Tamandua tetradactyla: one gene and its partners. The protein of the gene in region 3 interacts with the protein of the main gene of each other region in a pairwise test. Links are inferred from orthologs where the notes say so. Each region holds a gene or a part of one and is shown on either strand. Other genes may lie near its edges.

Region 1 (10,841 bases), on a different chromosome or scaffold from region 3:
AGATGTTTTCAGGTTATCTTCATTTTCTGACGAACCAGGAAATTTGAGCTCTCTGGAAACATCTCCCTGGTTCTCCTGTCAATGGAAGAACTCTCTGTGGGCAATGTGTGTCCCTTCCCAGGACAGCTGCCCTACCCTCTACACTGTATCCCCCTTTGCAGTCAGGCTGTGAGCAGTGCATGGTCTCTTTCCTCTCAGTGTCTCCCACCAGCTTGCAGGTTACTAACTTTTACTTGATTTTGCTGAGATGATTGTGCTCTCCTTGCACCCTGCAAACACTGATATTTCTGCTCATAAAACCCCGATTTCCACCAAGGTAGTGTTTCCTAAACTTGAATCATGTGCACATCACCCTCACAATTTTTGCTGTGTCTGTGTGCCACCTGTAATTTTATTTCCTTAATAGTCTTTAATTTGACTAGCAATGGGCTAGAAAACCAGGGTTGAAATCCCAGCTCAGCCATTCACTAGCTTTGTGCTGTTGGGTAAGTTCCTTACCCTCTCTGTGCTCAGTTTTCTCATCTGTATAATAACAGGGATAATAATAGTACCTAGCTCAGAGGATTGCTATGAAGACAAATGAGGTCCTGCAGATAAAGCATTAGAACAGCGCCTAGCACACAGTGAATACTCAAGAAGTGTTAGTCACTGTTGTTATTACATTTATTTAAAAGGAAAACTTTAAATCCCCATCGTAATGGAAAAATCAGTACCATTTGTCACAGAGAGTTATTGTAAAAATAAATGAAATGAAAATAGTTATTAAATTCTAGCTGTTGCCTGCCAGAGGCTCCATGCCCAAGGCCTGCTCTCATTTTGTAAAAAAAAAAAAAAGGAAGAAAAGCAAGTGTAAGAAAGATGTAAGAGGAACATTAGGCTCAAATGAGGCTGACCAACTCTTCCCAGTTTGCCTGGTTGTTTTCTCTTTTTAGCACTGGAAATCCTGAGGTGCTCCTCATTCTTGGGCAAGCAGGCATAGTTGGTTACCCTATCTCAGATGGAGGCTTTCTCCTTGATCAGAAAGACTGAAAAGAATTTAAATGGTCAATAACTTTCTCACAGTGTGATGTCATATGTTTCAGACTATCAGTTTCTAATTTAAATCATTTTGCAGACCAAGCCGACCTCGGGAAACACCTCATGAGCCCACCTGTGAGAGCTGTTTCCAAAAGCCATACATATATGGAAAGAACCACCTTGTATGTACCTCTGAGCGTGTCCTCAAAGAAAGACCACACTTGTAAATGCCCAAGAAGGAAGGAACAACAATCCAACTGTTGCACAGCTGAAATTATTCTATATCATGCAGACATTGAAAAATCATGTTTTGAAGCATATTTAATGATATGAAACAATGATTAGGATACAATGCTCATTTTTAAAAAGAAGACTACAAAACTATACATACAGTAAGACCCTAGTTTTATAAAATACAGAGAAATATAAAGATAGGCAAAAAACAAATCATAATAGTAGTAGTAGTTATCTCTGAGTGATAGGATCATAGAGGGATTTTTATTTCTTTATATTTATTTTTGTCTTTTCTTATTTGTTGTATTTTTATGAAATACAGAATTCTATATTTTACAAGTCATATTCGTACTTTTATTAACAGAAAAAAATGAATCAAAATTATGAATTAAAAATTAATAGGAAAAAAGTAACCAGAGCAGATTAAGTCCAACCTCAGCAAACCATTTTTTACATCTGGGGTCAAATGGGAGGAAAGATTTTCTAACAAACTGATTGACTGACTGGCTGATTGACCAACAGCTGCTTCCCTTCTCCCAAGGAGAAGGCCCTTACAAAGAAGGCAGGGATTGTCCAAAGTTATGGGCATGTGGTGCCTCTGCTAAGGCTCTGTGTCTGAAGAGCTCATCTAGTGAGGCTGCCCAGGTCCACTGCCTGAACTCAGATCCATGGGGCAAACACAATATCCACTCTCCCTCTTTTCTAGATTTTCCCATCATTTAGTCTGTTACACCGATTACTACCCCTGGGACTTGGGTTACTAACTAACAGCACAGTCTATCAAACACTGTAAGTATTACCTTTGGTGCAACGTGGCCAGAGCTGATATCCCCACTCATCACTGGCCAGCAGTGTGCCCCTGGGCATGTTGCTTCATCTCTTTGAGAAGCGATGTCCTCATGTTGAACTAAATCAAATAACCTATCTAGCACAAATCCTGGCACAAAGTAGGATCTCAGTAACAATTTTCTTTCTTCTTTCTTCTAACATTTCCCACACAAGAACTCAGGGCTCCATCTCCCTCCCCCTGATTCAAATAACAGACAGGAATAGAGCCTGGAGTTCCTAGATCTCCTCCCAATGTGCTTGGGCCTCTGTTTCTCCTGGGTCAGCACATAGAATCCTTTTACTGACAGTCAAGACATAGAAAGGCTGACTGACAGGCAGCCACATGGCCCTTTGGGGCTACCCAGGATGGGTGACAGGGTGGGATGGTGAGGGCAGGAATGGCACAGTGTGGATAACTTGAGATCCATACCGCGCATCCTCTCAAGGCAGACTGAAAAAATATGCTTCTCAGGCACATACACATAATAAATCCAGAGCCCCTTTTAATCAGAACATACTTTGAGCTCTATGTTCATGTAGTCATCCAAAACCAAAATTGATCCTGAGCATGCAGTATACTCCCAGCATCACATTGGGCACAGGACAAACAGTGGGGAGAAAGATGGGGTCTCTGCCCACACAGGGCTCAGTTACACTCCTACTGGAGGTGTGGGGTACATCCATCCACCTTCATTACCAAGGCTTAGAGGAAAGAGGTGGGGACTTATTGAGAAGCTGAGATCCCTGCTATGTATAATTCCACTCACCAGACAAGAACCTGGATTCTTCTCACAGCGAATCCCTCCTCCCTGCATGACTAAGTCCACTGGGTCCCATGGAAATTCAGTTTCAAGGAGAATGTACCTCATTGTCCTCACCCAAAATACTACTTAACCCCTGCTCTGTCTGGCTGGGTGACTTTAGACAAGTCATTTAAAGTTCCTGGTTTTCAGTGTCCACACCTGTAAAATTGGGGTAAAGATACATCCCTTAGGATTGCTGTAAGGAGCACATGAGAGCATACATTAAAAGCCTCGGGTCCACAGTGCCACCCCCACTGCCCTCCCAGAAATGGCACCAAATGGAGATCAGTGCAACATGGGGATTAAGAGCAGAGCTTCCTGAGATGGGCTGCCTGGAGTCAAACACCTGCTCCACCTCACTGCCACATGACCTCTGTGTGCTAAAATGTCTCAGCCACAAGACCAGAATGATGATATGAATCGAACTTTGTGTGGTTGTGGGAGTGGTAAATGAGCTACCATATATGAAGTGCTTAGAATAGTATCCAATACATTGTAAGAACTATCTAAGTGCTTGGTTTTTATTCCCAGAAAACATGTTTATAGAGATAATTGATCATGTTGTAGGAATTAGTGCATACTAATATCTCCCAGATGATCTTAGAGGGTAAATGTGCAAGAAATTTCTCTTTCAGTGTATGCCCCACTTATTACCATGCATAGAGGAAGGTACATCTGCTCTGAATGCAAACAGCCACCCCCAGGACAGACCACCCCCCACCCCCTACACACATCACTGAACTATGGACCAAACAAACATGACAACTGTATTGTCCGTTACATCAAAAATCACAAGACACTACTCAAGGCGGGAATGCACACTTATACTTGCGGGAGCACTGAAGTTAGAATCATACCTGGGTTCAGATTCTACCTCTGCTTCTTCTTAGTGATATGACCTTAAGAAGTCACTTAACCCCTCAAAAGTGGGGGGAGGGCTGGTAGGTAAAACTCAACCTGCCTTACTAGTGTGTCATAAAGATCAAGGAACTTCTTGTCTACTCTGGTAGAGGCAACATAATCCTTAGCAGTATTGGTTCCATACTGTTACTCAAGCCTAATGGTCCTAGGAAGTTTCTTCCTTTACCTGCAGGAGACCAATTCAGACAAGCCCTTGGGCTGCTTTTACTTGCCCTGATACCCCAGTGAACAGCCTGAAGAGTGATAAGAGAGCAGTGGCTGCTGAGCTCTAGGAAGCTGGAGCACTGGCCAGGGGCCCCAGATTCCACACTGCTGTTTACTCAACTTCACAGTCTCTCTGGGCTTTTACAATTGTTAACTGGACAGCAGGAAGAAAGGCAGCTGGTGCCTCTCTGCGGGCTTCCACTGGCCTTTCCTTTGGAGAAAGTCAGTCTAAGCGCAGCTCGCTCTAGGAATAGCTGCGACACAGAGCCTCTAGAGGTGAGCACAGCTTGGGGCACAGACTTGGGAGAAACTGAAGACAGAAGCAAAGAGAGAGACAGAGATGAAAGCAGGGGCTGCTAACAGAACACAGGACAGGCAGGACAGTGCAGAAACAGAGGCAAGGTCAAGGATGGAGAAAGGGATGGGCTGGGACAAGGTTCGAGGCAGGGGGTCAGATGGAAGCACAGAGTAGGGCTGGGAGAGGGGTAGTAGGTGGTGGGAAACCAGCCCTGCCTAGCAGGCTAGTAGATTCAGAGGACCCCTCTATTCCCCAAAAGGTCCCACAGAAAAGCTGGGGTTAGGAATTTCCAATCATAAGCAACATTTTCCACCCTGACCTGTGCATGCTTTCCAACAGCAAGCAAAAGGAGCATACTTTAACTAAATTAGAACTGACAAGATTCACTTCTTATTTAAAAATTAAAACAGCTATAATAAAAATACTCCAACCTAAATACCACATAACAAAGTCAACTCCCCTGTAAAGATAAAAGTTAAGCGCCCCCGTCCCAGCACCCTGTACCTTTAAGGAGGAGAAAGTTTCCCTCCGCTTCCCCGACGAAGAGGCAAATTATTCTCAGATATAGCGGCTACTTACCTAAAACTGAGTTATTCCCCTTTCCTCCTCTGGCCAGCCTCTCTTCACTCTGGGGAGCTTTTACCATTTAAGGTCAATGTTACATCTGGCTCCGGAGCTCAGAGCAGAGAAGCCTCTGGCTGCTGTGCCTCGGCCACCCGCCTCCTTGGAGAGGGGCTGGGACTTAGAGGCGCAAGCTGCTCGGGGAGCCCCCCTGACCGGGTTCTGGGGGTTAAAGGTGGGGTAGCTGACCTGGCAACCTCAGGGCTCAGGTCAACCTGGGCCTGTGAGGCAGCACCCTGCCCTGGGCCCCTCCCATGACCCCCACCCCACATGGCAGATGGCAGTGCCCACAGGCAGCTTGTGCCACGGGCACTGTCTCTGGCCAGGCGGGGACAAAGGAGATGCTGCAGATCCGCCTCCCACTCATGAGTCTGCAGCAAGTCCGGGAGCCTGGACAGGACCCTGGCCCAGAGCCAGAAGAATCTGGGAACATTTCCTGTCCCAGGGACCTGGGAACAGATGCTACTCCCACCTTAAAGCCTTGGAAGTACTGCAGAGAAGTGCCTAGAAGATTAGTCTAAACCTAGCCCTGGCACCAGCTGCAATCCCTGCTCCTCCACTTGACAGCCCTGTGGTCTTCGCATCACAAAGCCTCAATATCCACATCTATGAAGTGGGACTCATAATAATAACACCTAACTCATAGGGTCTTTAGAAAGATTAAATGAGATAATGCCAGCATCTCCTAAATGCTGGATCAGCATGAATTTGCTTCTTGCCCCTGACAAGTTACAGTTGAGAAAGGGCAAATCCTCCCGCCAGTTTACACCCTGCTAGTCCCTACTCGCTCCTCACCAACTCAGGTGCAGTGCCCTATCTGAGGTCAAGATCATGGTCCTCCAGGCTTAAAGCAAGTCACATGGGGGTTCCATCCCCCTTCTGGGGTTAGAAGCAACACAGAGCAGGCATGGTAAGATTGCCAGATAAAATACAAGACCCTACTTAAATTTGAATTACAGATATAGAACACATAATTTTTTCAGTATAAGTATGCCCCAAATGTTATATGGGACATAACTTATACTGAAAAATTATTTGTGTGTATACACACACACACACACACACACAAAAACCATTCCAAGCACTATGTTATATGCTTTACTGTATTCCAAGCACTGTTACATGCTTTACATAAAAGCATGCATGTATCCTCATAAGTACCCTATGAAACTGAATTATACCTTTCCTTCAAAAAAGAAATTGAAGCTTGAAGAGATAAATGATTTGTCTGATGCTCCACAGTCGGTAAGTAGTGCAGCTAAAATGTGAACTTAGGTGTGTTTGGCCTTAAAGCTTTCTCTTTGACTACACTTCCTCCCCTTCAGTAGGGATTTCTTAAGCAGGATTTCATGGATAGCCTTCAGGGATCTCTGAGTCACCTGAAAATGTGTGACTGTGTGGTTTGTGTTTTTCTTGGATAGAGGGCCAGACTTACAAAAGTGTCACCAAATGATTGTTTTTAATCACTGCTCTAACACCAGCATTTCATAAAACACATTGCTGGTGGGTGTCCAAAATGGAACAAGCTCTGTAGAGGAAGTTGAGCTCCATCAAGATTGTAAGGCTCATAACTTTTAACTCAATTCTACTTCTAGGAATTTATTATACAGACACATTCTCACACTTGAGAAATGACAAATGAACAAGATTATTCATTGCAGCATTATTTGTAAAAGCATTGATGTCCATCAGTGGGGAGCCATAAAAGAGGATGGTGTATAGGCATAACAAAAAATGAGGAAGTTCTTCATACCCTGATATGAAAAGCCTGCAAGATATGTTGTCAAATGAAAAAAGTAAGATAACAGAACACGGTATCAAATGTCACTATTTGGGTGAAAAAATAAATATATATATATGTACACAGACAAATATATTCATACATACATGCTATCAGATACATTTGTGTGTGTATACAGTCTCACTAAAATTAGCACAAGAAATGAATAACATTAACATGTTTCCTATGGGGAGGGAAACAGGAACTAAATTACTGGGAGACAGACTATCCATGTATGCTTTATTTATATGTTTGAAAATTTGAACAACATGAATGAATCATGTGTTGACATTTTAAAATAATAAGACAAAAGCAATGCTGTTTGTTAAGATGTGATCAATTCATCAACTATCAAAGAGTGTTGGTATGAGCCTGACCAAAGGTTTTTCTTTGAAATTTGTATTTTGAAATAATTTCAGACTCACAGGAAGGTGCAAAAATAGTACAAAGACTCCAATGTACTCTTCACCCAGCTTCCCCCAATGGTGATATATAGCTGACATACAATATCAAAAGCAGAAAATTGATATTGGTACATTACGGCTAACTAGTCTACAGCTCTTATGCTAAAGATCATTTTAAAATACAACCTTCTCATAGTTCGTTCATTCATTCATTCAAAAAGTATTTATCAAGTGTTGGATGATGGGACATGTTAGGAACACCTGAGACCTAGCCTCAGATCTGTCCCTGCCCTCATGGTGTGTAGACTAGCAAGGCGACCTCATTACTCCCATAGGAATAGTATTGTGGAGGCCTGGGACCATGCAATGCACAGTTCTTCTATAAAAGGAACTGCCCCTTTGCTGTCCTAGTCACTGAGCTTCACAGCTTGCCTGAAAGCTGACTTTTAATCCTTAAAAGAGCATGAGCAATTACTCGGGCTATATTTATCTTCATTCCTGGAGCCACACAGGGATTTGTCCTCACTGTACCAAAATCTCCAGCTCATCATTCATTCCCATCAGAGACAGTCATGTGTCCTCAGCATAAAGCAGTGGGCCAGCAGAGGCACACTGCCACACAGCTCGAGGAGGCTCCCCACAGGCCATTTGACCCAAGGCAGGGGAAAAGTCTAAAAGCCTCAGGCAAAAAGCATATCCTGGGACAAAGGGAAGCCAAGTAAGGGAAGCAGCTTCTTGCCAAGAACATTACCAACTCTGGGATTGATTGCTGGGATGACCTCACTGGAGTTTTGACTTCCCTGCTCCTTTTAAACTCAAGAACTCTGGATGTGCCCAGCACTCAGTAGGCCCTAGATGAGTATGTGAATAAATAAATGACCAAATCAGCAGGAATTGCATCTGGACAATGATGATAGCTATCATTTACTAAACATGGTACCAGGCATTGTGCTGGCCACTTTACCTATATGGTCTCGTTCAGTCCTCATCAAGTCCGTGAAATGTAGAGCTCCTCATCCTTATGACAAAGATACAGAAACTAAGACCTGGAATGGTCAAGGATCTCACCAGTGCCTTCACAGTTTGCAAACCCAGATCTTTCTCACTCAAGGGTCCCTAGGTGTCTGGTCAAGACAGTAGACTGGAAACACATGCTATCTCCTCTCCCTCCTATAATACCATTAAAATGATAGCAAAGGACTCTTTAAAAAGGAATCAATCCTTAGCCACAATGTGAACAGGAGGAAGCCATAAGTGAACACATTTCTAGAAGCTGGCAAGAGGATAGAGGAGTGGTGCCCAATGAAGCAGGAGAAGGAGGCCTCAGCCTAGCACGAGATGACACACAGAGAGAGACTCTAGCCAAGAAAGGAACTCATCTTCCTGATGCCTCTGAGAGTTCCGGACTTGAAAAGCCAGATATGACAAGGACAGAAAGGAGATATGGAGGAAACAGAGAGGGGATGTTTAAAAGTCTGTGGACAGAAGGAGGGGAAAAAAGAATGAAGCCCAGTGACTTTTGTACATAGCCTTTGGACTAGATGCCCTCAGATTAAAGTGAAACAGAACTATAAACAAATTTTGAATAGATGTCTCTTTTTTCCACAAATATATGGGTTAACAATTCTGAAAATACTTTCTATACATTCTAGGAATAAGAAAATTGGTAAATATGGTGTGGATCATGAGAACCAAATTACTTACTGTTGAAGGAAGTTACAAATATGGAAAAGGTAGAGGGATAGGATAAACTATATAGTGCTGTAGTCGGGATTTTAGGTATTGGAGTGAACTAGATAGATAGCTAATAGGCAAACTAGATGATAGATATATAGATACAGATGTATGCACACATGTATTTATGTTTATATGCATACATACATGTGTGAGTGCATATAAACATACACCTATATTCTAGCTATTTCTACTGAGAGGGCCTGGAAGCAATAATACCCCAGTAGCTATAAGCACGCTTAATTCCAACATCTTGGCTTATAAATACCATTTTCTAATAAAAGGAACCAGACCTCCTTGACGAAATAGATGTTTCTAGGCCTGGACAGGTAAAGTATGAGAAAGTACAAAATGAGCCTGGATCACTTTATTGTGCCAGGAAAAAAATACCTTATTGTGTTTCAGAAAAAAGGAAAACATGTCAAAAGGACACAGAAACCACTTGAAGGCTCCCATTGACCAAATATGAGATAATATGAACATCAGTATTGCCAATAATAGTAAAGAATTATAACCTATTGGATAAAATAAGAATCCATGAGCCCATGATGATATAAACAAACAAATGGAGGAGAAGGAAAAGCTCTTTTTTACAGTAAAATACCAACCAATAAATGTAGAAGAATAATGGAATTAGAATGTAGCTATTAACCATCTTATTAATAGTTGATTCAGGCAAAAATCCCATCAATGGATGCTGAAAGTCATGGTTGAAAGTTTAAGGAGTAAGAAGATATTTACATAGTCTCATAGTATCTCCCCACAAGACACTTATTAATTATAAAGGAGGAGATAATAACTTTACAGTGGAGAAAACTGACAGACATCACCATAACAGAGTGAACAAAATTAATATCACCAATAATGGGACAAACTGACAGCATGTATCTTCTGATAGGTGCAATGAGGATTCAGCATTACTTCTGTGATGTTTCTGCCGAAGATGAAATATCTGAATCTAATGATAAGGAAACAGGTGAACACAAATCCAACAAAATAACTGTGCAGTTCTCTTAAAAAACATGAATGTCATTAAAGACAAACAAAGACCAAAGAGCTGTTCCAAATATAAGAAGACTTAAAAGAAATAATAACTGAATGCAACAAATAACTAGGGATTTTCTTTTGCCCTAAAGACTCCAGCAATATCTGTATATAAAACAAATGTAACAAAATATCAATAGTTGGGGGATCTGGGTTAAGGATACACGGTAATTCTTTGTACTATTCTTGCAATTTTTCTGTTAAGTCTGACACTATAGCAAAAAATAAAAAAGGAGGAGGTTGGAGTTTCTCAGGCAAATTTCAATATAGTCACTTCAAAAATTCTGCAGACAAAAAAAGTCAATCTCCCCTCACCTCTCACTCTTTCTTCTAATCCTGCTTACAGAAAGCCAGTTTGGCAATATGCATTTGCTCTCACAACCAAAAACAACAAAAACAATAGCAACAGAGCATTCTTCTCTAAGGAAACTGAATAAACTGGGATAAATTAGAATAGCTACCATGGAAGCTGCTATTATCTCTGAATAAAACCCTCTGCGTTCTGAAATGGGGGTGGGAGGCGGGGGTGGGTACAAGACAGAGTGTCCCACCATCATTCACTAAAGCAGAGTTTCTTAACATTGTCTATTTATTAGAATCACTTGGAGGAGATTTTGAATCTATTCCTGTCCAGGCCCCCCTCCTAGATATTTTGTATTAATTGCTTTGAGTCAGAGCCCCAGGCATTAGTTATTTTCTAAAACTTCCCAGGTGATTCCAAATACCACCACTGTAAACCACTGCTCTAAAGCACTGGTTCTCAATGTTGGGAGAACATTGGAATCACCTGGGGGTTTTCCAAACCACTGATGCCCAGGTCCCATCTCCAAAAATTCAGATTTAATTAGCAAGGATTGTGGCCCAGGCATTAAGATATTGAAAATCTTCTCCCCCATAGGGAATTCTAATATAGCAAAGTTTAAAAACCTCAGCAAAACTAGCCTGTGAACCAC
Region 2 (10,841 bases), on a different chromosome or scaffold from region 3:
GATGAAGAGAAGAGGATTGTGACTGATCCAGTTAGGGAGAGCTCAGCAGCTACTGCTGGGAGTGGGTATGGGGATGGGAGAGAGGATAATGGTGTGGAGAGGAGGAGCCACGTGTGTTCAGAGGCTAGGTGGGGAGATAGGAGGCCTGGGTTCTCCTTCCAGGCCTGTGGATAACTTGCTGTGAGACCTCAGTGAAATTAGTGCTTCTCTGTAGGCTTCAGTTGCCTCATCCGTGCAACTCAGGGGGTTGGTGGCTTCTAAATTATAACGTTGGGGTTGAAGAGGATGCTGAAGCTGAGCCAAGCAAGGAGGGTTCTGGTCAGGCTGAGACTCAGGCTTCTCACCCCAGGAAAGAGCTGGAGGAGCAGCTTATCTGGGGACTAAGGTTGATCCAGGAAGGACACAGGAGCCCCTGGGGTGTGTGGCAATGGCTACCTCCTCAGAGTTGGCACCTTTCTGCTTGGTGGCCCTGCCTCAGTTTCCCCCACAATCTAGTGAGCACAGGCAGCGAAGTCTTCTCTCTAAAGTACCACGCAATGCTCTCAGTCCCCTGCTCAAGATTTTTCTCTGTGTCCTATCATACCATTCACCCTCCCAAATCTGTCCTGGCTGTTTCAAATTTCAAGAGTCCTTTGTTTGATCCCACCTCCCTTGGGAAGCATTTCCTGCATGTTCCCTTGTAGGTTTTTTTTCTGTTGTTGTTTTTGGTGCATGGTGCAGGAATCGAACCTGGGTCTCCCACTTGGATCCCTTCTAGGTTTTGACCCCCAATCCCACACAACTCTTCCACCTTCAGGTTGGTTATATCACTTTCCCACTAAATCCTGGGACTGGAGGTAAGTAAAACGGCTTGAGGTCCAACCTTCCTCACAGCTTGAATTCTGCCTATGGTTTCCAGGGGGTACCCTCTTCCTCCCTGGACTAGGCACTCAGTACCTTCCTTCCAGACCATCTTTGGAGAGTCTGCCTGATGGAAAGCTTCTCCTTAATACAAATGGTAGATCCTGTTTATTGAGCACTTGCTCTAAACACCAATGCTCTAAGTGTACTGACTCACTTAACCTTCAATTCAACACTACGAAGAATGTTCTATGATTACCCCATTTCATGGATAATAAGGGAACTGAGGCCTCAGACGTGGTATAGCATTGTGGTTCCAGTGCAGACTCTCTGAAACCAAACTGCCTGGCTGTGCATCTTGATGCCATCACTTCCTAGCTGATGTGGCCTTGGGCAATTTACTTCATCTCTTAGGACTCCAGTTTTCTAATCTTAAAAATGGAGATAATGATAGTAGGCTAAGGATTGAATGAGATAAGAACAATTACTGCCCTCAATTACTGAGACTTCTGAGAGCCAGCACTTTGCTGAACCTGCTACCTTATTTAATTCTCTCCTAGCTTCCTGAGATAAGAATTATTGTCCTTATTTTACAGAGGAGGTTCCAGGAGGCTCAGCAGTTTGTTGACTCAGCTAGTAATCATGCAGCTGACACTTGAATTCAGGTCTATTTAACTTGTCTTCTCTTAGGCCCTGCTCAGTTGTCTTGGTTTCCCAGACTTGGCTGTTGCCCAGAGCAGCCCCATAGTGACCAGAACCCTGAGGTCAGGTCTTACACGTGTTTTTTTTTTTCATGCCTGTATAACTGTGTTGAAACCGGACCCAGTACCCTTCATGGTCCAGAGGGCTGGGTCCATGGCCCCTACACTCCCTACTCCTGGACCTGGGTCTCAGTCTTCCTATTTGTGACCCGGAGACCAGAGCGTTCAAGGGCAAATCCCTCCTCCTGAGGTTCTTCCCAGAAGCATAGGTAGGGTAGTGCCTGGTTGGTCCCAGCAGGTACCCACTCCATGAAGAATGGAGGGCCAGGTAGGCTAGGTCCCAGCCTAGAAGCCCACCATTAACATCCCATTTCACTGTTTACGGGGAACTCTTTCACCCACTCTCTAGAGTGATGTTTCTCCAAGTTAGGTCTGGAAGCCCCTTGCATCAGAATAATCATCCAGGAATCTGTGCTTTAAACACACTCTCTGGATCATTTCAAACCAACACTTAAGAAACCAAGACTTCAGAACCCTAGATCTTCACCAGCTCCTGGGAGGGAGACACTTTTACTCCACCCCTTTTACAGATGTGAAGACTAACACCGACTTCCCCCAAGGGAAAAGAATATGACCACCCGCACAGAGAGCCAAGGAGGCTTTCTCAAAGATGCCTGTTGAAGACCCAAGTCTTCAGGTCTCTGGGTTGGGCTGGGCTGGGTCTTATTCTACCAGTCTTCATTCATTCAAGGTTGATGTGGCCAATCGTGAGACTTTCCACTACTCCCTTAATAAAGACCAGTATCTTTTGCATTGGTAGCAAGGCCCCACCACTATCTAGCCCCATTTAACTCACCTCTCCCTCCTCTTTCCCCCGGCTCACTAGGCTCCACCCATACAGTCCCCTTTTCTTTTCCTTAAAGATCTAAATTCTTTCTACCTCAGAGTCTTGGCATCAGCAGTTCCCTCTGCCAGAACCACTATCTTCCCACCCGGACTCTGATCTAGCTGCCTCTTTCATTTGGTTCTCAGCTCCCTGACACCTCCACAAAAAGGGCTTTCTTTCCTCAGTGCCAATCACTCTCTGTATCCTTCTAATTTCCTCTAAGGTACTCATCTGGATAACATTCCTTGTAAGCTTACCAGGTACCATTCTGAGCATTTTATGTGTACTACCCAAATTAAGCCATGCAAACTGCCTAGAAATGAAACAATTTTATTTCCCCTATTCTATAGATACTGAGACACATGGAGGTAAAGGAACTCTAGTGCATGGTCATAGTTAATATTCAAAGCCAGGTGTTTACCAGATCCTTGCTTTGCTAGCATTTACACATTTTACAGCTTGCTTGATAATTCTCTGTTTCTAGCACCAGAGTCCAGGCTGGTGAAGAGCAGGAGCCTTAATTGTCCTGGACTCTGGTGCTACTCCTAGAACCAGGCTGGGCACTCTAAAACAAACTGAATGTGCCAACTCTGAGATGGAATACGAACCCAGCTCTGTAGCCCCCGCCTTTCTCATAGTACTAGTTTAAGGAGCTTGTGAGGCTGCTGGTCAGCAACCAATTATTAACTGACTTCTCTGTCTTTCCAAGTTCACAAGGTCTGAATGTCACTTCAGTAGCTTGCAGTGGGCTTATTATTCTGGTGATGGAGCCTTGTCTCAGTGTCATTACTACTTTGGGGGGAAAGAAAGTTCTGTTGCCTGAATAGGCTCTAAACACTAGGGATGCAGAGACTTAATTCTCAGAGAGCTTAGGCTAGGACCCTGGGGGTCAGAGTGAGAAAGGAGCCATTTTTTGTCCTCTCAGCACCTCTAAACAAACAGCACCACCCAGGCCTCACAGCTGTGAGAGATCTGGTGAGTTGGCAGATGGGGAACTGTGCACGATAACCAACCATCCTCTAGGCCTCCAACCTGGTCAGTTCTCACCTTCATCCCAGCCTATCATTCCAGCCTAATTGAAAGGCAGCATTCCCTACCAGCCAGGGCTCCCTTCTCATACTTCCCCACCTCAATGCACCTCCACATGCGTTTCCTCTGCTTTGGGAGCCCTTGCTTGTCTTATCCCAAGGGAAAACATTTGCATTCTTCAAAAATCCCCTTCACCACTGTCCTCAGGCATAGTTCACGGGCACTGGAGGTAGGGGTCCCACTGCACTTTGGGGCTCCTTTCTCCATCGTAAAATGAGTTTGAAGGGCATTAGGAACACAAGTCACACTGAGGAGAGGCCGAGAGCAGCAGAAACGGTCTCTAACTCAACGGCCCTCACTCTGCGACAGCCTACGTGTCGGCGCTTTCGCCAAACTGGGAGTCCCCGCAGGGCAGGGCCCTCAGCTGACTCATTTCAGAATAAGACCTCGGAAAAAGTGGCCTCAGAGATCGTGACAAGAGGAATGAACGATGAGTGAGGAAAATGAACAAATGAATGGACGGAAGGCCGGACGCGGGACAAAGACCTGCAAAATGGTGCTCTCTAGGACCGCGGGAGGGGCGGCCAGGGGCTCGGCCGGGGAGGGGGACCGCAGGTACCCGGACGCCGCTGGGCGGGCCGCAAGACGGGGACAAAAGCCCGCAACATGGCAGGCTCTAGGACCCCTGGGCCTACGCCGTGCAAGGCCGGCAGCCGTGCGGGCCGAGTCCGGGTGTCCGCGGGCGCAGGTCCGTAGTGGCAGCCGGCGGGCTCTAGGACCCACTAGGCCTGGTGCCCTCCCGCGCCTGCCTGAGGCCACTCTCCTCCCGCCCCGCGCGCGCTGCCCGAGCCGGGCCGGCCCCGTCCACCCTCCGTGCCCATAGGGAAACTGAGGCTCGCTCGGATCACGTTCACGCCGAGGCCGCCCGGGCATCTGCCAGCTCCCTGCCGTCATTTCCTACCTGAACTGACTCAGACTGGCTCCGCGGCGTCGGCTTCGGCTCCTTGCACTGACGGAGCCCGGGACACTGCCAAGGAAGGGCTGGCGCTAGGACCCAGCGCGGGGGCGGGGGGGAGGGGGAGGCGGGGCCGGCGGACCGGCAAGCGGAAGTAGAGGGGAGTTTTCCCGGCAAGGAAGGAAGGAAAGGTTTACAGGAGCACCCCTAACCGCTGATGGCCGGGAACCATCTTCAATGGGGTCTCTGTAGGAACTGAGGGCAGGAGACGCCGGACAGGTTTACGATATACACCGGGCTATTGTTCGCTTGGGGTCGGGTCACCAGAAATGTCTCCGAGAACTAGAAGGGCCGTGCTCAAGCTTTATAATACCTAAATCCGCTTATATGCCACAACGTTTCCTTTAATAGCAGGGATTGAATTTAATGAGGCTTCCTCCATCGGTCTTGGGAAGTGTCTTCCAGGGAGCCTCAGGAAAAGTGTCGCTAAGGTATTGAAGCCAGGGGCTGCAGAACTCTTTTTTTCCCTCTTCTGCACTTGTCCAATATACACCGGGACGATTTTAGCGCCTTGCGCCGGAAGTGTGGCTAAGGTTAGTGCAGAAGAACGGAAACGCCGTGACCTGCATGGGCGGGACCGGAGTCGTACTTGTCTATTTCTCCTCTAGGGCCGGAAATGTGTCTGTGTAGAACGGCTGATTGGAGGCGGGGCAGGAAGTGTTCCTGAGGCGGGAGTGGGGGTGGGGCGCGGGTTTGCGGGGAAGCTTTTGCGGTTCGGACACTTCCTGTTTCCTAGTAACAATAGGAAGTGTTCGAGGAGCTGCGGGATAGACTCGCAGCTCGCGTCAGCTGCGCCCTTTTTCTCCTACCCTCTTCTTTCTCACGCCCTTCTCTTTCTTTCCCTCCCCTCCCACCTCCTGGGGGAGCCCTAACTGAGCGTGCGTGCGCGGGAGCGCGAGACCCCCCACCGCCAACCCTTAGGGCGCGCGGCAGCAGTTAGGGTGAGGGTCCCAGTGCGCAGGCGCTCTCCCGTTCGCGGTCCCACTACCCGCCGCCCGCAGTCCCCAACGGGCGCGCCCGCGGCGGGAACGAGAAAGGGCCGTCTGTGTGAGGTAGGGGGCCTGAGAGGAAATTGGCAGTGGAGAAGAGTGAGGGGAGAGAGGACTGTTGAGCACAGGGGCTTTGTGAGGTGAGACTTCGGGGAGCAAGTTTACTGAGGGGCTTTAGAGTCGGAGATAGGAGTGGGATTAGGGTCCCCTGAGAGTGAAGAGTCAGATTTGGAGGAGGACGAGGTGAGGTAGGAAGCGGGAAGGGCTGCTGTGGAGAGAGCAGAGGCTTTGCAATGAAGACTGCTCATCTTGGGTAACAGGCATTACTGAGTGTTTGAGAATTAATTGACACAGTGAATATGCCTTGCTTAGCACAGTGTCTGGCACATGGTAAAATTCATGAGTTGCTGTCATCATCGTCGGTGTTGAGAGGAGAGAGAGAAAAAAGGGATGGTGTGGAGGCATAGGAAAGAAAATGATGTAGGGGATAATGAACAATCTGAAATGGGATGGAATTTTCCAAGATGGCAGATAGTTTAGGTTCAGGGGGAAAAGGTAAAGGAAGTGGCCAATAGAGACTTTTAGGAAGTAGACCTTGTGACACTGAAAGGAATAGGAAGGTTGGGGACCAAGCCAGCCCTCTCTCTGAAACAAGGCTCTTAAGCTATCCTCTCAAGCCTTCAGGTGTCTCCTAGACAAAGAGGCTGTTTTTTTCATTGCCTCTAGACTCTATCAATAGATAACGCTCTTTAACTGAGGGGTGAAGGAAGAAAGATTGGATTTCTCTTATTGAAAGGCCCAGAAAGGGTTCTCGTTTCCTTTTAAAAAGTGTTTTGATTGTGGTAACATATAAAACAAATTTCTCATTTTATCCATTTTTAAGTGTATAATTCAGTAGTATTAATTACTTCACAGTGCTATGCTCCCACCCTGGTTACCTTGTAAGATATTAGGGGAGATATGTTTTGTTTTCCCCAGAATTATATAGAGCAGAAATTTAGGGATAGTAAGACCTTTTTGATCTGGTCTGAAGAACAGGATCAATAGGTCTGTAATCAGAGAGGTAGGTCTTATCCCTCTCACCTATAGTTTATCTAAAATTTGAGGGAGTAGTTAGGCCTAAGGGAGCTCACACATTTGGGGAACTTGTATGCAGGGAGGTCTTGAATAATGTTGCCTCTACATTAGATCCAGAAAGCAGGTCTCTGGACATTGATGCTTAGTGAGCTTCTCTAACCCCTGAACTTGTTGCTCATAGAGCCAAGAGGCAGAGTTAATTTGTGCCTATCTTATTACTGCTCCTTCTTCCTAGGCATTGGCCCCTCCATCAGAGAAACATGCTGTTGCCACCTGCCTTTGCTTGCTGAACCTTCAGATTTCTACTGTGCTGCCCCATGGAGGACTCACCTGCTTCATTCAGCTGCTCTGACTGTCAGCGCCACTTTCCCAGCCTCCCAGAACTGGCGCGGCACCGAGAACTGCTCCATCCATCTCCCATCCAGGACAGTGAAGAGGCTGATAGTATCCCCCGACCCTACCGCTGTCAGCAGTGTGGGCGGGGCTACCGCCACCCAGGGAGCCTGGTCAACCACCGCCGGACCCACGAGACTGGCCTTTTCCCCTGTACCACCTGTGGGAAGGACTTCACCAATCCCATGGCTCTCAAGAGCCACATGCGGACTCATGTGCCTGAGGGCCGCCGTAGGCACAGGCCCCCACGTCCCAAGGAAGTCACCCCTGTTTTCCAGGGTGAGATGGTGTCCACTGACTCCTGGGGCCAGAGGCTTAGCCCAAGGGAAGGCTGGGAAAGCCAGACAAGGCATACCCAAGAGATACCTGCCTCTGAGTCTGGGCCTGACCCCAGGGCAACCCTGGGTACTTGGGCAAATCCATCTGCCAGACCAAGGGATGAATGGGAAAGCCAGCCAGATCCTCAGGAGGGCACAGAGGGCTGGGGACCCACCGCCAACTCTGCCAGAGTGCCACCTCTCCCCACCCCAGCAAGCAGTCTCCTTAGCAATTTGGAACAGTATTTGGCTGAATCAGTTGTGAACTTCACAGGGGGCCAGGAGCCCACCCAGTCCCCTCCTGCTGAGGAGGAACGGCGGTACAAGTGCAGCCAGTGTGGCAAAACCTATAAGCATGCTGGGAGCCTCACCAACCACCGCCAGAGCCATACCCTGGGCATCTATCCTTGTGCCATCTGCTTCAAGGAGTTTTCTAATCTCATGGCTCTGAAGAACCATTCCCGGCTCCATGCCCAATATCGGCCTTACCATTGTCCCCACTGTCCCCGCGCCTTCCGGCTCCCCCGGGAGCTGCTGGAACATCAACAGACCCATGAGGGTGAAAGGCAAGAGCGGCCATGGAAAGTGAAGGGGATGCCTCCCACCAACGGGCACACAGAGGAAAGCAGCCAGGACCAGGTCCCTCATACAGAAATGGTGAATGGTACTGGGGAGCTTAGTACTTCAGGGGAGCTAGAGGACAGTAGCCTAGAGGAGTATCGACCTTTTCGCTGTGGGGACTGTGGCCGCACTTACCGCCATGCTGGGAGCCTCATCAACCATCGCAAGAGCCACCAGACAGGTGTTTACCCTTGCTCCATCTGCTCTAAGCAGCTGTTCAATGCTGCTGCCCTCAAAAACCATGTACGGGCTCATCACAGACCCCGGCAAGGGACCAGGGAGGATGGGCAGCCATCAGTCCCACCAGCTCCCCTGCATCTGGGTGAGACTACTGCCAGAGTGAAAGAGGTCCCTGTCACCACCCTGGAGGACCATCGCCCCTACAAGTGCAGTGAATGTGGTCGGGCTTACCGCCACCGGGGGAGCCTGGTGAACCATCGGCACAGCCATCGGACAGGAGAGTACCAGTGCTCACTGTGTCCTCGCAAGTACCCAAATCTCATGGCCTTGCGTAATCACGTGCGAGTGCACTGCAAGGCTGCACGCCATAGTGTGGGCCAGGGTGCAGACTGTTCCCTCAGCCCCCTCAAGGTGGAGCTTCCACCTGACCTGGTGGGAGCAGAGGCAGCCCCACATACAGATCAGGGGCATGGATGCAAACATGAAGAGGAGGCCACCAGTATCCCCCCGGCAGCAGATGGGACAGCACCACAGATCTGTAGTGTCTGTGGGATGCTCTTTGAGGACCCTGAGAGCCTGGAACATCATAGCTGGACCCATGGGACAGGGGAAGGGGAAAAGAGCAGGGCAGAGACCAGGATGTCACCTCCTCGGGCATTTGCCTGTCGAGACTGTGGAAAGAGCTACCGCCACTCAGGCAGCCTTATCAACCACAGGCAGACCCACCAGACAGGGGACTTCCATTGTGGGGCCTGTGCCAAGCACTTCCACACCATGGCTGCCATGAAAAACCATTTGCGACGTCACATTCGACGGAGGAGCAGGCGGCATCGGAGGCGGGCAGGAAGTGCTGGCAGTGGGGGCGGAACCAAACTCCCGTCAGAGGGGTACTGGGCCCAGGAATTGGTGGATGACCACAAGGACCCAGACTTTTCTCAAGATCCTTCAGGTGAAAGACCCATTGAGACTGAAGGCAATTTGGAAAGTGATGGGGATTGTTTGCAGGTTGAATCAGAGGGGGACAAATGTGGACTTGAAAGGAATGAGGCCCGTTTCCAGGGTGATAAACAGAGCAGAGGCACTGAGGAAGGACTGGAAAGAAAGGCCTGTTTCCTTGACAACTTGGACATCCCAGGGGATGAGAGAGGCGGTGGAGCCACCTTCTGCCGTGGCCTCACTGGGATAGATGAAGATGAGAAACCAGCCACTGGCCAACCCACATCCCCTTCCCACTGTCCTGAAGCTGTTAGCAGCTGGGAGGCTGAGGCCTCCCACACATGTTCTGATTGTGGACATTCTTTCCCCCATGCCACCAGCCTGCTGAGCCACAGACCCTGCCACCCACCAGGCATCTATCAGTGCTCTCTCTGCCCAAAAGAGTTTGATTCTCTGCCCGCTCTGCGCAGCCACTTCCAGAACCATGGGCCTGGGGAGGCGGCCTCAGCACAACCTTTTCTCTGCTGCCTCTGTGGCATGATCTTCACTGGCCGGGCTGGGTACAAGCTTCACCAGCGTCAGGCTCACAACTCCTCTGGTATGACTGAGGGCTGGGAGGAAGAGGGGGAAGAGGAAGGCACAGTGGAAACAGCCTCTTCCCATAGCCCTCAGCTGCAGCTCTCGGAAGCAGAGCTGCTGAATCAGCTGCAGCGGGAGGTGGAGGCTTTAGATGGAGCCGGCTACGGGCACATCTGTGGTTGTTGTGGCCAGACCTATGATGACCTGGGAAGCCTGGAGCGTCACCACCAAAGTCTGGGTGGTGGTTCTGGGCACACCATGGACAACTCTTCTTGTCGCTTAAGAGAAACAGTTGAGGCTGTGGAGATGGTTGCAGATGATACCTATGAGGACACATTGGCTTCTGTCTCTGAGGAGTGTGCAGATACAAAGTCTGGAGAGGGAGTAAGTGCCACCATTGCAGGTGGCCTTTGCATGCAGGGTAGTGAAAGTTCCCCGGAGGCCCAGCCCCGCCCTTTCCGCTGCAACCAGTGTGGCAAGACCTATCGCCATGGTGGCAGCCTGGTGAATCACCGCAAGATCCACCAGACTGGAGACTTTGTCTGCCCTGTCTGCTCCCGCTGCTACCCTAACCTGGCTGCATACCGTAATCATCTACGAAACCATCCCCGTTGTAAAGGCTCTGAGCCCCAGGTGGGACTCAACCAGGATGCTGGAGGTAGCAGTGAGCTCCAGAATGTGATGGAAGGACTGGGACAGGCAGAAGTGGAGACATTCCAGGAAGAACTTAAAGCCGAGCCCCCAGAGGAAGTGGCAAGGGTGAAAGAGGAGGCATGGGAGGAGACAACTGTGAAGGGGGAGGATATGGAGCTGAGGTTGGAGACAGCAGAGAAGGGCTGCCAGACCGAGGCCAGCTCTGAACGTCCCTTCAGCTGTGAGGTATGTGGCCGCTCATACAAGCATGCTGGAAGCCTCATCAACCACCGGCAGAGCCACCAGACTGGCCACTTTGGCTGCCAGGCCTGCTCCAAGGGCTTCTCAAATCTCATGTCCCTCAAGAACCACCGGCGCATCCACGCAGATCCCCGACGTTTCCGCTGTGCTGAGTGTGGAAAGGCCTTCCGCTTGCGGAAGCAACTGGCCAGCCACCAGCGGGTCCATGTTGAGCGGCGTGGGAGTGGGAGCACCCGAAAGCTGACTCGGGAAGATCGGCCCTTCCGTTGTGGGCAGTGCGGACGTACCTATCGCCATGCTGGGAGCCTCCTGAACCATCGGCGCAGCCATGAGACAGGTCAGTATAGCTGCCCTGCCTGCCCCAAGACCTATTCAAACCGTATG
Region 3 (10,841 bases):
GCACCAGCTCAACAATTCAGATTAGGATTCAAAATGCCACAGATGTGATTGCATAATAAGCTGTTGAGTGGACTGGTAAATGCTGCTTTCAGCATGTGCTTATTTAGCGCATTGTCTTGCCTTCTCTGAGATCAGAAGGTTCAAGTCAGAGAGTCCAGGATGCTAGCAGCAGGCCCAGTTCCCTGGGATGGGCAGCAGCACCTAGGGGAGAGATGGCAGAAAGAGCAGCAGCCTGGTGTTCAAATCTGGTTGCTAGGATACCATGGAGACCCTCCATTGCTAGGCAGACAGAATTAAAAAATGTGCCCATATGCCTCATAAACTGCACTCAGCAACAACCGAAACATTGCCTGCCTTCTTCTCCCCTTCCCCATTAGGAAATCCAACCCAACTCTTTAGTGAAATAACAAGAAGTAGTGGAAGCATGGAAATGTGGCTCAGTAGAGCAGGGAACCCAGTCATTTACATTCTCAGGCATTCTTTACAGTGACTCTATTGAAGCATTTGTCAGTATTTTCATTATAAACCCCATTTCAGGGTTAGACAACTCAACTGTGCTTCAAAAACACCCTAACAGGATTTTAGCAACCTGTTCTCATACATTTTTATAAAGGTTTCATGACTTCAAGTTTACTTCATAGACTGTGATGTCAAATTATTGACCAAACTTAAATCGGAGAGGCTATTAGAATAACATTAGGCTGGGATTTAATGCCGCCACGAAAACAGGAAAGATGAATTTCAAAAGCCAACGTCAGGTTCAATTCTCATCTACGTCCAGTTTGCCCTGGTATGCAAGGAATCTGTGATGCCAGACTGTGGCATAAGACTAGGTTACTTTCTATGTGCACATTTTGAAATGAGTGGGAAAAGGAACCTGGTTTCTTTAAGAGTGGACTTCGGTCTCTTCAAGACTTTTAATCATCTGCTGCCTGCTTCAATCAAATACTCTTCCTTAGGTGGGCAGTTATGCCTGGTATCAGGACTGTGCTGGTGGGAAAGGGGTGGGTAGAGGGTTGGACAAACATTCTGAGATTCAGAGCTTCCTTAATGCAGAAGAATTAGTCCTCGAAATTAAAAAATAAATAAACAATAAAAAGCTAAAAGGATTCTTGTTTATTTTAAAAACTAGCAGAAATGCCCTCCCTCCTGATTTATAAAATCACAAAAACTGAGATTCTCAGTCTCTCTCGTCTTAACTTGCTTTCCTCAATTTCCACTAATTGGAAATCATTAGTGGCCATTGTTAGTGGCCATTTATTCTAGTATGGCCACTAGTTGCTGTTGTCCCCTCACACCCAGAAGCGCCTTCTGCTTTTGTGCATGGTTTTGTCCCTCTGTTGATGGCTTAGAATGTCTCTACCCTGCCCCTATCCTAACCTGGTCCCCTCTCACCTATCCTTAAAATACTTTAAATAACTCCACTTCCACAAGAGTTTCCTTCACCATAAAATTTAAAGTGCTTGCTCATATTTTGCCAACTGTCTCAGGTATCTTCTCTGTGATTTATCATATTCTACTTTCCAGAATATTTATTCTCGTGCACTATTGTTATCCCCTTGTTAGCTCTTTGATGGTTCTGACAGTGCATTGCTCACCTGTCTAACATCTTACGGGAGCTCCCACAGGGCAGTCCTCCTATAAAAGTACTGAAACGAGCTGAGGACACATTTGGAACCTAATTTCTACCTTTGAAGAAGTCTATGTTTTAATTTTATGCCACCTACAATTACAATGGAATTCTAGAAATCTCTCAGCTTTCTATAGAATTGGATTACAGCCTTCAGGAAGACACTAGTTCTGTTGAGATGTACTAGTGTCAAAGTTTAAAGGAAAGACCACATAAGATCTTTTTAAAATTGATGGCGCCTAAAAATAACAAAACACAGTTCTTTTCATCCTTAGCTCTTCCGAAGTCCTTCACAATCAAAAAGTGAAACAACAAAACATATCGTCATTCTCTGAAATTCAGCTACCTCTGGGGTAAAACCAACAGCTTAACAAAATTCAGACACACTAACAACTGCTGATGGGAAGTCAATGCTGTATGGTCCAACTGAAATGACATGGAACCCTGTGTCCGCAAAACGGAAAGGATTTGGAACGATTTACAAAGGGTAAAGAAGTTAGATCAAAATACTATAGGGTAAATATTGTAACCTACTACGGAGTAAATTTTCAGGAATGATGTGATATGGAATAAAATTAATTAATAAAATCCAAAAGAATGATTCTAAATACATAACCAACAGGCCAACTGATCTCATATGATGAATGTTTTCTTTTAATTTTTAAGTTTATTTGCTCAATTTATTTCAAAACATATGGTCTAGTAGTTTTACATACTCAACTAGGTTATTTGGTAGCAGTGGAATATGGATTTGAATTTGCTTCATCTTTCCTTTGCATCACGTTCATAATCCAAAAAGGACTCAAGGGTACTTCTATACAGGTGGTAGAAAAGACAAACACAGTCACTGTCCTCACCTCACGGGCACAGCAGGAGGGCTCGGACTCTGTGCTAAAATCTCAGACATTCCCCTCAATTCCAAGCTCAAAGGGAAAATTCCAAATCAAAACCAATTAAGAAGATTTAATTCAGTAAGTGCATTTACATTTTATACTACCTGGAAATGATCAGAAGTCACTAAAACCAGAATTTTTTTAAAAAAACTAATCCTCAGAAGGCAACCTCAGTAAGCAAAAACTAGGCAAACATATTTGATACATATGAGTATTTCCGATAATTGAGCAGAAAACTTGCCGGGAAGTTATCTACATCTACTGGAAAGAGAATAGAAAACTACCATGAACATGAATTCGAAACAAATTTTCGGCTATTTAGATAGTTTCATTTTAGCTTGAACTCACATTAACAAACTATGAGTAAGTTTAAGAAAGGTGAAAAATTTAACCTGTTGCCAGTTAAACCTATATAATTGAATTTGCATTGTGAAATGAATTGAAACGCAAACAGATCTTCAGTTTGGCAAGTTTCCTTAATTCTTTGTGGCACTCTTGTGCATGACTATTCAAATGATATAAGATATAATCATTTTTCATACAATATATTTCTCTTTCCCCTAAGAAAAATATACCCTACCACTTCAGCCAAGTTTTATTCTAGTTTTCTTTACGTAAGTGTGAAAAAAGAACAGATGTTTTCCCAAAATTATTTAAGCTTGGAAGACATTCTATCATTTTCTTCAATATAATCCTTCAGAATCACCAAAATGATCATGGCAATATCTTTATAACTGACTCCTGTAAAACGTAAGTTATTAAATATCAAACGGCACAGGAATGTTCATTAGCTCAAATTTTACTATAATGGAACATTGTGAATTATTTTACACGCGAATTTCATTTTCCACAATGGGCTTTTTTAAAATCTAGTTCTACAGGTCAGGCAATAAGAAGCTTCTAAAATTTACCAAAATCTACAGTTTGTTCCCCACTTGCCTAGAAGTTCTTTAACATATTTAACTGGAGTTATCAGCTGGCTTATCAGGCTTCACTATAAAACCTATTAAAATAATCTTTTTATAAAAGCAGAGTTTGCTCTGCACTGCTCCGAAGTCCTGCAGACACTAAAATGAGATCCTATGGAATGCTTAAAGATGCAGAGAGCTGTCTTCAAGTTATTTTTTCATTATGCAAAACTTGGCCCAGGAGAGATGGCCATGCACCTCGTTAGCAAAAACAGGCAAGCATGTCAGGACTGCAAATTAATTTACCAGAGAAAGCTGAAGTGGCTTCACACCACTCAGGTTTTTTAGGCAGATGTAAGTCTGGTGAACTATTAAGGCCAATTTGTGCAGGTCCAAATCTCAGAAAGGTTTGATCCTTACTACCCTTTCTCCAGTCCCTCAAGAATACAAACTCCTCCTTACCCCGGGGCTGCACAGGGAACAGCAAATGCTCCACGGGAACCAACATGCAAAGGTACAACTCTAAGTTTTCAGAAGTGCAATTATTACATTCTCACGACCTCCAAAAAATCCAATAAATACAATTGGGGGCTAATAAAATATATATTCTTTCTTCTTATATTAACTCTCTGTGTTTATGATGTGAAGGGTTCCAAGGGACCTTGTATTATTATGTAACACGTGCCATCCAGACAGTGTGATGCAGTTAGCATAAAGTAGAAAAATCTTTCACTTTTTAATGTCATTATCTGGTAATTAAAAATAGCATTCATTCGTGCACTTTCCTTCATTTTAGGTTAACCTTATACTCCCGCTGCTTTACTCTCAATATGGATTCTGAGTTGAGTGTTGTATAACAAGTTTCATTCAATTTTCCCAGCCAAGTTATGTGAAGCTCACTGACATCAAAACTACACAGTTCTCTAAAATGCTAGAATAATACCAGGGTGATCACACTAACGGCTAGAACCAAGGCAAACTGTGCCCACATCCAAAATAAAGGTGTGTTCCTATCTATATTTGACCCTAGAAAACATGCAACCCTCGTGGGGGATGGAGGCGTTCCATTAGTAACATTATGCAAAGGAAAACAGGCAATATTGTCTCAGATGCTAGGAAAAAAATTTTAAATGAACAGACTAGGTTTCCATTTATGGATTGTAAATGTCATCCAATTCAGGAAATCAAGAAATCACCCCCTTGTATATGCGTATTTGCTTTTTAAAAAACACTTTGATGAGGGCAGAACATCAGGTTTGAAGGGTGCCAGCGTGAATCGCCACCATGTAGAGAAATCCGAGGGAGCCAGAAAAGCATAGAAAGTAATGATGGTAACAGACGCATTTCATTTCAAGTCTGATGAGCCTGCATTTAGGCTTTTCCGGATGGGCAGGTTTGCCAAGGCATTTGGGAGACGGGGCGTTTTATTCCTCCTCTCACATTCACTCGCATACAATACACACACGCACGGACACACACCTGGGGCGCGTTCAAACTCCATGTACAGTAGGTGGCATATAAGAATGTATATGTGCATATATATATTTTTTTAATAAATACTTTGATATCTGACAAAGACACGAAAGCAACGTATGTGCAGTAAGTCTGGCTCTGAGAAATGTGCATGGCCCCGCAAGAAGTGCCCATTAAAATGAAACATTTCAGAGGATGAGGACAGACACCGCAAGCGGGAGGGGCGGGGGCCGACAGACATTACGGAGACCCGCAGCTCCCCCACCGACAGGGCGCCACACCGACCCGGAGCGTAACCCCCGCTTACTGTGGGCTCTTGGGGTAGAAGGGCAGGGTCACATGGCTGAGATCCTGGATGTCGAAGGCGGTGGGCTCCGCGGAGATCGCCTGCCGCTTGGTGCGCGGCTCACCCTGCAAGGTGCTCGCGCTCTGCTTCTGCGCCTGCTGGGTGGCCGGCCGGATCACCGAGCGGTACTTGTCCAGCTCGTTCTGCAGCTTCTGGATCAGTTCGTCCTTCTGATCCAACTCCAGCTCCAGCTCGTCGATGAGAGCATCCCGCTGCCTCAGCTCCTCGATCTTCTCCTGGAGCGCGTACTGTAAATCTCGCAGGGTGCCCATGCTCCTCCGGGCAGCCGGGGACTCCTTCCTGCCGCTGCTCCGCGTCTTGGGGCTTCCTCCCCTCTTCGATCAACTTTCCCCAAAGTCGCCGCTGCCTCCCGAGTGCAAAAGCTTCCTACTTGAGACCAAAGCCAGCCCTGGCTTCTGAGCATGCCCAGTCCGCCGGCTCCAGCCACCGAGAGTTTCAGTGTGCAGACCGTACTTCTCTGGGTTTACTGGGAGGCTGAGCGTGGGGATGAGCAAAACAGCAGGTCCAACCCGGGATTAAGCCTGAAACAGAGTGGGCGCCGCGGCGCCGGGGAAAGAGCCGCGAGGCTCGGCGGCAGGGAAGAGGGAGAACGGGACTGAAACGTGGAGCTCCGAGGCAGCGGCTGGTCTACACGGGTCGCTGGCGTCCGGCGCCAAAGGAAACCGGCGGTGCGTGTGGAGAGCCAGATAAACCTCTGGGGCGCGCTGGGTGCTGTGCAGGCGGAGGGAGGCTGGAGCACTCCTTTGGGGGGTGGGGAGGTGGGGAAGAGAGAACGCGGAGGACCCCGGGCAAACGGGAGGCGTCAGCCGGTGCCAAAGCATGCCAGTGTTGAGGGCATTGGGCTAAATTCCTGTAGACACGCGAGGGCAGCGCGGACTCCGCATTCTAAGGGCTCCGACTTCTGGAGGCGTTTTGACCGCCTGCTCACCCAGAAAGGCTCCGGAGCTGTGTGGTTGATTACTAGCTTCCCCCGAGCCACCCTTCCCACTAGGAGCGCCTCACACAGGTGGCTAACGCTTGAAAAGAAACTTGTCACTTAAGAGATGAGAGCGAGTAGGTACCTGGAAGGGATTTCTTTTTAACTCAGGTGCCTTTGAGGATGGAGGGTCTGTGTTTGATTCTTGATCCACTAGCATTGCCGCTCCGCACTTACCTGCCTTTCCGCCCCGTCCAAACTCAGATTAATGAAATCATCTTAGGGCAATGGCCAAAAGGCAGTTGGGCCCCAGAAGGCCACTCTGCTTCTCCACTCTCTCCCACTTGAGCCAGTATCTATGGAATCGTTCACTGCCAGTTGCTGAAAATGTGGGGCTTAAAAATCATCGCCGAGCTCCAAAAAGTTCATCGAGAAATTGAGCTGTATCCTTCAAAACATTATTTCTTTGACAACCAAGCCATTAGGACCATATCTTTCCACTTCTGTGGCAAGGGAGAAACCTGACACAAACTCTGAAGGAAAAAATCATACAGTGAAAGGAAGGAAAGTCTAGAAGGCCTGATGTAAACTGTACAACATATACAGTCTGTCACCCCACCTCCACCCACTCCATCCCCACCCTTACCAGCTCAATATTTCCTAAAAGGATGACAATTAGGACCTTTGTCCAAATGTAACTCTCCCATCATGGAAACACATGTTTAGAATCCCCAAACATTTATCTAATATCTAACCTAAGTTCCTAATATTTACCTAAATTTTAACCAACTCATCCAATTCTATAGCATCTTTTCTGGCCCTGTAGTTACTCTCTTTGGGGCACCCGAAGTTATCCTCCTTAATGTTTTACTTGGCCATTCCTTAACACGAAAACAAAGTAGATAATAATAATAATAAATAACATTGAATTGTAATCCAGAGCCATTCACTGGAATCTGAACTTAGCCCAGGACATAAATATGAACCTCAAAAACCTTGCTCACTTTTGCTTTTGAATTTGCAACTGAACAAAAAAGAAAACAAAACAGAGAGAAAGAAAGAAAAATAGTCAATAGTATTTTCACAAAATTTTTCAGTTTAAAATATGTTTGTAATTAGAAGCGTAAATGACAAAGGATATACAATCCTAAATACTGTCCCATGCAGATTATGATCTAATTCTCTTTCAGTACAGATGCATGACACTCAATTTTTCTGCTTTTCAACACAGATATTGTGGAAAATGCATTTATTTCAGAATATAATAAATAAAGCGGATATTTCCAAAACATTTTTATTTGTAATGAACAAAACATGAAAAACTTACAATTACTGACAGCAGTAAAAACAGTTCTGAATTATTATTGTTTTAGTTAAAAGTAAACCAAGCAGAAGTACTTAGTTTGCATTAATGAGTCTATTTTAAAAGTGCTACTGTGATATTTTCCTTCTCTCAGACAAAAGGCCAAAGTTGTATCTTATTTAACCTACAGGAATTCTTTAATTCCATGGTTAAAATATTTAAAACAAAATGATTTTTTTCTATAGATATATTAAAGGGGTCCATGCAACCATGAGTTTATCTCTAAAAATATATCACAAAGGGATGTACAGAGGGTATCAATTAGACAAGTCCTAAGCAATATCTGGTTTTTAAGGTTCATGTGAGGTTTAAATAAGGGTTACCCTAAGAAGCACAGAATGGAGAAGATTATTCCTCATTTGTAGAAAGCCTGCTATAGATACAAAGAAAAATAGAGACAAAAACATTGTTCCAAAATAAAACAATAATAATAATACAACCAAAAATATTCAGGTATTTGCAAGAGAACTGAGATTTTAAAAGTAGAATGTGTGAATATTGCCATTATTTAAGCTACCATATTCACACACAATTACAGGATTTATCTACATTACACTTTCATTTTAAGTGGAATACCTTGTAATATAAAATAAATTCCACGATGAATCCAATACTGAGATTCAACAATCTGTTGTAATAACCACAAAAAAAATTAATGGCTGAGAAGATATGACTATTACAACTGGCTTATGTTTTAAAACGTATTCAAGGTATTATGGAATATATTCAGTTATGATTAGCCTACATTATGAAAAAAATAAAATTTTCTTTATAATTGAATATAGTCAGTTAGGAATAGCCTACATTATGAAAAAAATTAAATTTCCCTTAAATATTTGATAATATTAAATGCAAAATCCAGAATTCAAGGCTTGTCTTTTGATTCTTGAATTCAAAATTAATATTTTAAGTATGTTTTACATTTTATATATTCTTGACAGGTCATTTAGATCTTAAGGATCTGGGTTCCATCTCAGCATTTAAGCAATTCCAATATTTTCTTAAACACCTTTAGCATTGTAATTGGCAAATTCTGGAAATAATTGTATATAATAAATCAGGGCACTACAATTACATTCCAACAAAAACAAATTTTATCATAACATTTTTACTAGGTGTCCTATAGTAGTCTTATTTGGCTAAATTACAAGATGAAAAATCAGGTACAAGTCTACTTTCTGCTCATTAGAAAAGTAGTCCATCAATGTGGAATGGACTACTCATTGTGGACTGAGCTCTCTGCCTTGGAAGTTAGTTGTTAACAGAACAATACAAGTCTAAAGAAATGGTGTTCATACTCTGGAATTTCATAGTCAACCCACAAGCTGCATTTCAACATTATCCCCTTGGAACAGTTTTCATAGAAGCAAAGTGCTACCATAGCCCAACCAAGCTGTGGCATATTAAACTCCAATATGCTCTTCTATTTTGCACCCAGTGCTCATGATTAAGAATAAATATTAACATGCCTTCCTTGATGGAATGTCAAATAATTGAATGAGACATTCAATAAAGCAGCTTTACCATAATACTATTAAAAATAATAGTCTGTAGAATTGCACTAAAAGCCTAATTAGCCTCAAAAGAACTAGGGTAATTTTATCATCTACTTTTGCATTCCACTAATGCTACATTCCCTGGAAGAGTCCTAAATTTGAAGTTTCCTTTGTCACTTTATGGGTATATCTTAAACAGGGAGGAAAAAACCAACTAGCTGAGCTTTGGGGGTAATGAAAGCCACCCCTGGGAAGACTGATAGAGGAAGCAAGTTCCTCTTGCTCTAAGTTGCGAATCATAATCAAGCTCACAATAAAAATAAACAATTTCTTTAAAGCTTAATGTACGAGAGGCACAGTTCATGTAACCCTACAGGGTGGGTATTACTATTTCCATTTATAGTTGAGAAAACTGAGGCACAATATCACCCACCTAAAGAATGGCAGAGCCTGGATTCTAATCCAGACCATCTGGCACAGAGCTCAAGCCTCTTACTTGCCCTTGACAGTTCTGGTACTGGATTCAGGGAAAAGATGAGCATTAAGTAGCCCTACATTGGGATTGGAGGAAGAGGAGAAATTTAGAAAATTCTGAAAGAGCAGGAACACAGTATTTAAAAGATGTTTCCCCAAAGCTGTCTTCACTCCACCGTATTTCGCCCTGGTTTAGGGTGACTAAAATGGCCTGGCATTGTCCCAGTTTTTAAATTAAAAGTCCTGGGTAAACCAAGATAGTTAGTCACCCAATTTAATTCAGCCTACCTGGGTCCCTCTACTTAAAAATATGTTCAAAGTTTGCTTGCAGAGTTACAGATGAAAAAGTAAAACCAAACAAGATCTGTGATGATGATATGTATTATTTCAGGTACGTTACAAACCCACTTATGTTTGTGTGAATATAGTTTAGGGAAGCGATTGTCCTATTGCAATACATAATAGTGCACAAGGAATTATCTTCCTACTGTAAGGGCCGGTGAGTCAGACAAAAGAATTTTAATTACACTTTGATAAATTAGTCAAGGATTCTGGGCTGTCTTTTTAATTTATTGTTTATATAGAAACCTGGAACTCAGTTTGGCTCCCTATGGACTAAGCACAGCAATTCAACTGCACTGCTAATCATTTAACTCCTATTGAATTAGATTATACCTTATGGTTGTGTTTGGGGAATAGATTTGGCCATCAGGAATGCATATTTCAATGGATATAAAAGAAAATTAGAATGGCTGGGCTGTTTTGAAATCATACTGAAATCATGCAAATGATAAGGTCTGCCTGGAAAAATAAATAAATAAATAAACCATTAATGATGAAAAACTTACTGCAGAGATTTGAAAAGTAATAGTGTACTGTACTATAATTGCTAATGTGCTTATAGTTTAATACCAAATTAACGTCATGCCTAATATTTGTTGAAATAAATTCTTATATATCCACAGCTTAAAATGATGGTAAGTTATTATTGGGACTCAGCCTAAACTAGTGCTCATGAAAATCTATGTACTCTACAACAAAAAGAAAACATTTCTTTGAAAGCTGCCCATTTCCAATAACCAAAAGAAGTAAACAGTTTTTCAGAAGAAAAATATTAGATGTTCTGCATTTTTTTTCAGAAGTAGAAATTTTTAAAATGCATAAAATGGAATTTAAAATGCCATAGTCACAAAAATACTATTTTACTGCATTTAAGTCCAGTGACTTCATCTCCACGAATATACAATATAATATCTTCCCTTTCTGATTAATAAATTACAGTTTCTATGTTCCATTTTAGTGCTTCTTCTGGAAAAGTATA

What was found.
Region 1: the proteins of PRKG1 (region 3) and IRAG1 interact in a two-hybrid assay, tested with the Homo sapiens proteins (2 studies listed by BioGRID). The link is inferred for Tamandua tetradactyla from reciprocal best matches to the Homo sapiens genes PRKG1 and IRAG1.
Region 2: the proteins of PRKG1 (region 3) and ZNF646 interact in binary tests that used the Homo sapiens proteins (3 or more experiments, as listed by UniProt). The two-hybrid records come from large-scale screens. The link is inferred for Tamandua tetradactyla from reciprocal best matches to the Homo sapiens genes PRKG1 and ZNF646.

What each region holds. Positions count from the first base shown.
Region 1 is NC_135334.1:85,485,838-85,496,678, forward strand, and holds the start of IRAG1 (inositol 1,4,5-triphosphate receptor associated 1), read right to left. Parts: upstream 5,462-10,841; 5' UTR 4,952-5,461; coding exon 4,885-4,951; intron 1-4,884.
Region 2 is NC_135349.1:23,460,755-23,471,595, reverse strand, and holds the start of ZNF646 (zinc finger protein 646), read left to right. Parts: upstream 1-5,189; 5' UTR 5,190-5,600; intron 5,601-6,772; 5' UTR 6,773-6,854; coding exon 6,855-10,841. UniProt on the Homo sapiens protein: May be involved in transcriptional regulation.
Region 3 is NC_135339.1:45,950,538-45,961,378, forward strand, and holds the start of PRKG1 (cGMP-dependent protein kinase 1), read right to left. Parts: upstream 5,917-10,841; 5' UTR 5,523-5,916; coding exon 5,212-5,522; intron 1-5,211. UniProt on the Homo sapiens protein: Serine/threonine protein kinase that acts as a key mediator of the nitric oxide (NO)/cGMP signaling pathway. GMP binding activates PRKG1, which phosphorylates serines and threonines on many cellular proteins.